2 linked regions of the Danio rerio genome follow. The protein of the gene in region 2 purifies or fractionates together with the protein of the main gene of each other region. This does not show direct contact. Links are inferred from orthologs where the notes say so. Each region holds a gene or a part of one and is shown on either strand. Other genes may lie near its edges.

The links. The genes of interacting proteins can lie anywhere in the genome.
Region 1: the proteins of klc1a (region 2) and kif5c purify together in Homo sapiens (co-immunoprecipitation; 4 studies listed by BioGRID and IntAct, counting the BioPlex papers as one, with this or other methods). This does not show direct contact. The link is inferred for Danio rerio from reciprocal best matches to the Homo sapiens genes KLC1 and KIF5C.

Annotation. Positions count from the first base shown.
Region 1 is NC_133184.1:24,807,854-24,811,423, forward strand, and holds part of kif5c (kinesin heavy chain), read right to left. Parts: intron 366-3,570; coding exon 177-365; intron 1-176. UniProt on the Homo sapiens protein: Microtubule-associated force-producing protein that may play a role in organelle transport. Has ATPase activity. Involved in synaptic transmission. Mediates dendritic trafficking of mRNAs.
Region 2 is NC_133188.1:17,851,933-17,855,502, reverse strand, and holds part of klc1a (kinesin light chain 1), read right to left. Parts: intron 3,366-3,570; coding exon 3,192-3,365; intron 1,241-3,191; coding exon 1,141-1,240; intron 1-1,140. UniProt on the Homo sapiens protein: Kinesin is a microtubule-associated force-producing protein that may play a role in organelle transport. The light chain may function in coupling of cargo to the heavy chain or in the modulation of its ATPase activity.

The DNA.
Region 1 (3,570 bases), on a different chromosome or scaffold from region 2:
ATCACTATTCTTAAAATGAGAAAAAAAGCTGTGAAAAAATGAAACTTACAAACCATTTAAAATAGAGCCGTTACATTTTTTCTTTCTTTTTAAAATCATCAGGAGATCAAAGAGAAGAATCGCCCATGTGTCTGGATACTGATCACTAGGGGGCGCAGTTGACTGCTTGTGTGTACCTGAGAAATCAGCATCTGACAGGACGCCAGCTCTTTCTCGTTGGCCTGCATTTTACGCATGGTGTCGCTCTGCGTGCTCTCTAGCTGTTTACTGCGGTTGACCAGAGACTTTACTTCTGACTTCATCTTACTGATGAAGAGCCGTGCCATAGTGAATTCCTCCTCCATTCCTCCATTCAGCTCTGACAACTGAATAAAGACAGAGAAACAGCAGGAACTCAGGTAAAAACCACTTCAATACATTTTAAATTACATCATTTAAATGAGCTCATGTAGGTTCCAGTTTAAAAGTATGCTGTGAGAAATTAATCATTTAAATCAATAATGCTAGTAATCAGGTGGTATGATGTTAAATTTATCAATGGTGAAGTAAACACATTTAAGTATTACAAAATTTATCAGTTTGAAACAAATGCTGTCATCTAACTTTCTATAAATAAAATAATTCTTATTTATTATCTCTCATACCTCATTGATATCACTTTTTTTTTTTTTTTTACCAAAAAAGCTGTTCCACCATCTTCAAATTATATAATGATAATCTAAGTACAGTACATTTATTATGTATTATACCTACTATATTATTATATGCTTATATACCAGTTAACATTAACATTATTTCTGAAGGATCATATGGCACAGAGGATTGGAGTAAAATTTTAAAATATTTTTTAACGATTATTAAATGTTTTAACAATTACGTAATAATTCAGTTTATATATATATATATATATATATATATATATATATATATATATATATATATATATATATATATATATATATATATATATATATATATATATATATATACACACACAGTTAAAGTCAGAATTATTAGCACCCCTTTGAATTTTGTTTAATAATGATGATGTTGTACAGAAATGATGTTAATAATGATGTTTAACAGAAAAAGGAAATTTTCACAGTATGTCTGGTAATATTTTTTCTTCTGGGGAAAGTCTTATTTGTTGTATTTCAGCTAGAATAAAAGCAGTTATAATTTTTTTTAAACACCATTTAAGACACAAAATTATTACCCCTTTTAAGCTATATTTTTTTCAATAGTCTACAGAACAAACCATTATACAATAACTTGCCTAATTACCCTATCCTGCTTAGTTAACCTAATTAACCTAGTTAAGCCTTTAAATGACACTTTAAGCTGTATAGAAGTGTCTTGAAAAAGATCTAGTAATATATTATTTTCTGTCATCATGGCAAAGATAAAATAATTCATTTATTTAAAATGAGTTATTAAAACTATTATGTTTAGAAATGTGTTGAAAAAATCTCTCCATTAAACAGAAATTGGGGAAACAAATAAACAGGGGGGCTAATAATTCAGGGGGACTAATAATTCTGACATCAACTGTACATACAACAGTTCTGTCTGGTTCTTAAATCTGATTGACTGATAGCTGTGAGATATTTAAGTAATATCAGCACCCGTACAGCCTCTTTACCCTTTGTGTATTACTCTGCCCACATCCAGTCAGCAACAAGCAAAGGACAGTCTACAGTTTGACAAATATTTCAGCTGTTGAACAACATCATAGATATATACATTAGATGTCGCCTACCCTGTTGTTGTCTATTGGAAGGTATGCGTCAATAGAGCCGCCGTTTTAGTACAGGGTAAGACTGGAGGACTGTGGCCATCTAGAGCCAGATAATTACACATATATACATATATCTATGATCGGGAGTTTTATCGGAGGTCAGTATGCTAAATTATTTTTATAAATTACGAAATTATATTTTACATCACTTTTCTACATTGATGGACAACTGATCGCACAGGCATTCCCGAAAAAAAGCTTATGTTTGTGTTTATGGAAATGTACTATCTACCCTTCCTGAAACACACCTCCTTTACTGCTTTCACTTCTCATACTGACGAGGGGAGCTATTCGTTTGTGAATGAATCTCCGTTTTGATAACTCCTTTACTAGCCGACAATAATACAAGTTTTTGGCAGCGCAGCATCTCATTTTCATATTTCTTTTGCATTGTTTGCTGATTTTATTCAACAAAACTAGCATAAGCAGAGTATTTAGTGTGAGTTGATGCTACTTTGCCTTATGGTGAATTCAGTAAGTGACTGTATTATCATCAGTAACGTTACCTGTGCAGCACAAAAGTTCATAACATACAAAAACGTAAAAAACTGAATCTTACCTATGTAATGTTCTGCCTCTGTGCTTTGTTTCCTTTGTTTGCTTGTTACTACACCCGTAGACAGCGCTAAAGTCCAGCATTTTCACGTAATAACACTGTCTTGACTAGTGCGGTTGAATGACACTTGTCCTGGGAGCACTGTACAAATATGGCGGCGCTATCGACACATGCTCAGGATCCCTTTGTGATATCTAGTGTATATATCTATGGAACAACATAATGTGCTTTTGAGCCTTTTTTTAGTCAAGAATGTACTTGTTTAGATTGCAACTATGCTGTTTATTTATAAGAATAGAGCCTATTTTAAAATATTTACAAATTCTAAGAGACAGCTCGTTGGCGGCCATAGTCTGCCATACTGAGTAGTAGACTAAAGGCGGTTGACGTTTTCATTTACAAGATGGCGACAGGACCGCATAATAACATATTATAGAATACACCTTAAAAGAGACTTTGATAACAAACCCTTAGAAGACTAAGGGTGCTTTCACACATGTAGTTCGCTTCATTTGGTCCGGACCAAGGGTAATAAATGATACAAATGCCGTCTTTGGGTTGTTTTCACACCACACTGCTGGCTTTAGTCCGAACCAGTTGAAACGAACTAAAATGCCCTCATCTGACAAAATCACATCTCTCATTGGCCAGATGTTGTTGAACATATTTCCTAAACTGCTTATTGATTGGTCAGAATTCACGTGCAGGAAAATGCCAGTGAACTCCCGGAGGTAAACAAAACCTTTTACTCTGGAGGGACGACTGCGCTGGCTGATTGTATCCTTGCTTTAGACAAACTATACATTACGAGAATGAAGCGCGGCCGCGGCTGGAAAACAGTGTTTAATGCATCGCTCGTCACTTCAGGAAGAGACGTGAATTAATTTAGCTAAACTGTGACATGGTCATCTTGCGGAAATATTACCAACGATCCATCAGGTAATGTTTTCCCCTCTCTCCCTCTCTGTTAGTAAAGCGCTGTCAACAAATATTTTTCCTCCATATCCCATAATGCACAGCACATAGGCCTACGGCAGCTGAATTGGTCCAAAATGCGCAGTACTTTTTGCGGTTGGACCTGTTTTAGTACGAATCATATTCTCACCACAAGCTAAACGCTCCAGGGTTCGTTTGAAAGCTTACCGAGACCACCTCTTCAAGCAGGTCTCGGTACGCTTATTTGGTCCGCTTTTGGTGCGCACTCGAGTACGATTGC
Region 2 (3,570 bases):
CTGTTTTTGCTTCGTTGACCTTCATTATAACAAAAATATTTGTTTGCAAAGCCATGATACCATGGCCATGGAAAACAAGCAGCAATTATGAATGCATGATATATATGGTGTCATGGCTTTGCGATTAAAGAAAAATTATTATAATGGAAGTAATTAGAGCAAAAACATCCGCAAACATAACAAATGGGTAGTAAATTTGTCCATGGTGTATTGTTGAGTTGAGTCTCAAAGCCTTTTTTCAAAATAGGAGTCAAAATAAAGGTTGTCACCAAATTTATTCCATTTGCTGAAACACAAAAAAAGTTGTTGCCAAATTAAGACTCAAAATCACCCCAGAGTGATAACAGAAAGTTTACACACTAAAGAAGATAAAAGCTGAAGAAAGCTAAAAAGCTAAAAACAAAGACCTCCATAGTAGTAAAAAAAAAATGCTTTGAAAGTCAACAGTTATCAGCTTCTAGCTTTCTCCAAATTTAGTGTTTAGCAGAAGGAAGTCAAACAACAAGTTTGGAAGTTTGGATCAAGTAAAGGGTGAGTAAATGATGACAAGGCATGTGTATATATAAATATATACAACACTTCTGTCTGGTTCTCTAAACTGATTGGCTGATAGCCGTCCAATATTCCTGCAGTGCGATATATATATGTGTATGTCGTCACTGGTGGGACACTAAGACACTAACGCATGCCTCCTATATTTATCCTATATATTTTATTAACGCATGGTTAATGCAGTGCATTTTCATTATAACCCTTGCCCATAGTTGGAAAATATGCATCCAGTAAAGAATACAGCACTTATTGGAAATGATGAATGAAAAAGTTACAAACGGTAAGATTGTAAACATAATGACGTCTCATGGTTCTGTCAACAAGAAAAATCATTTCTGCAATCTGCATTTACTGTTTTTGTAAATTAAGTTAACACCACAGTGAACGAGTGAAACAGTGAACTGCTTCTATTCCCCCACATCAGGCAAACCACAACCAGTTCAAAGGGACTCCACAAGGTGTATGTACGTTTGCGGGATGGCTGAATATCCTCATAAATAAATTCCCCTTGTTCACAGGGACAAAGTATAAAGAACATTGCAAAACATTTTTCAGAAGATGTAAGAGTTATGAAAAAGGCATACATACCATCAACAGAACCAAATTCTCTCTCATGGGCTCGGGTGAGGATCTCTTTATATAGAGTCTCTGCCTGCTTAAATTTTCCCTGTTTCAGATAGCATGAAGCCTTAGATAGAGAGAAAAAATTATCATTAACAATTACTTATTTAAGCATTTATAGTAAATAAACAGTGTCCAGACTTACTGAGTTTTTACACACAGGGAAAAAGATGATAGACTCTATACAATCTAATTAAAGTAATTAAAAATAAGTATCTGACATTTAGTGTTTGTGCAATTTCAGCTGGTATTAATTTGAAGACTGGTATTATTTTTCTCATAAATATCTGTGACTGGTATATACAGGCATATCTAAAAATAACTGGATGAAACCCTAAACCCTTACTCTGGTAAAAGATGTTACAGTTTGAGAAGTTGTTACTCTAAAAGCATCTTCCATTACACTAAAAGCAGAATGATGCATACGTTATGTTTATAATCTGCTGAGATGACAGAAAACCTGCAGTAAATAACACTGCAGACCACACCATATGGATAGATTCCTTAAAGAGGATTAGTTCTCTTTCAAAACAAAACATTACAAATAATTTACTCACCCCCTTGTCACCCAAGATATTATTTTCTTTTGTTCGTTGGTTGTAAAGAAATTATGTTTTTTAGGGAAAACATTTTATGAATTTTCTCCAAATGCACTGTATAAAGGCGTTTCAACTATGTTCAAGTGGGAACTGGTGGTGTTTTATATATGTCATGTAGAGACAAACCAGGCGCCTTGACTGGACAGAACTAAAACTGCAGTTTGTTGCTTAAAATTGTTTGTGTGCTTTGGAAACAGTGGGTCAGCACTGCATACATTATGGTAGTGCTCAGAAATTAATCAAAAAATAGAAATTGCAAAGACGACCGAGTAAAGCTGCGATGGCTATGTACATTTTGTCATGAAGGTATGGTTGTGTGATCAATTGTAAAGCTCCTTCAAAATACCAGAGGGTGCTCTCACTTCAAACACCCAAGACGAAAAAAACCCAGGAAATCCCTATAGCATTGGATTATGATTAGAAAATTTTTCATTGATTTAGCAAGAGCTCCGGTTTCCCCCACAAGTCCAAAAACATGTGAATCAGGTGAATTGGGTAAGCTAAATTGTCCGTAATCTATGAGTGTGAATGAGTCTGTATGGATGTTTCTAAGAGATGGCTTGCAGCTGGAAGGGCATCCGCTGTGTAAAACATATGCTGGATAAGTTGGGGGTTTATTCCACTTTGGAGACCCCATAGAAATAAAGGGACTAGGCCGAAAAGAAAAAATCATTTAGCAAGACTAATAATCACATGACTATGGAATCATCTATTGTAACACAAATATCTATTTCATACCTTCGAATAAATTTTTGAGGCGAGTTTTGGCAAAGACCACCATTATTTTTTGTAGTACCACCATTATTATTTGCAGTAGTAATTTGTGAGCTCCGCTGAAGACCTCGATTTCCCCTTTTCCACCAGAATTTGTTGCTAGTTTAGAGTTAATGCTATTGCACAAAGACACTGACAGAGATTAGAAGCATTATGTTCTGCTGCCATTTCATATATGACACTCCAAACAGTTTGGGCATCTCATTGGTTGAGGTAATCCTACCCTCAGCCCAGATGCAAACTGTTCTTATTCCTAGCCAAGAATGCTTTGGTGCTGTTGAGAACAACTTAATCCTGATTTAGAGCCAGTGCTTTGAGTTCTGGTTCAGAGCTGGAGCCTAATTACAAATTGGTTCTTTGTCTTTTGATACTCAAACTACCTTGGAGGAAAAGAGGTATATATGGAAGATAAAGAAAGATATTAACACCTTGGATAACAAGGAGATGAGTAAATCTGTAAACTGTAAACACTACCCATTTTGCATGCTAACCCTAATCAAACACACAGGTCACTGCCTCGTTACCTAAAAAGGTTGTGTCAGGCAAAAAATACATGCAAAATGTGCATTGCTGAAGGGGTTTCAGAAACATGGCTGTGAAACACTGCTTTAAATAAATGGTGTGAAGTGTGAGGGGTGTTTGTACCAGGTTGTTTTTGGTCTTGGCCACATTGGGGTCATCGGGGCCCAGTTTGGTCTGATAGATCTCCAGGGCCCTCTGGTAGTAGTACTCCACTTCTTCATACTTGCCTTGGTTCTGACACAGTAAGGCCAGATTATTTAGCTGTTTGGCAACATCAGGGTGGTCCTTCCCCAGCACCTGACAAACACATGAATATCTCACATTATTGACCTGCTGCAGACTTATCTGTCACACTGACGGCTGCAGTGTAAACCACCAACAGAGAGTATATTACCAGGTTATTCAGTTGTTTGGAGAGGTTAGCTCTTACAGTATGGATTGTAATGCATACCATTGGGGCTGCAGGAATGAGAATCCAGCCTTTAAACTGAAATATACTTTT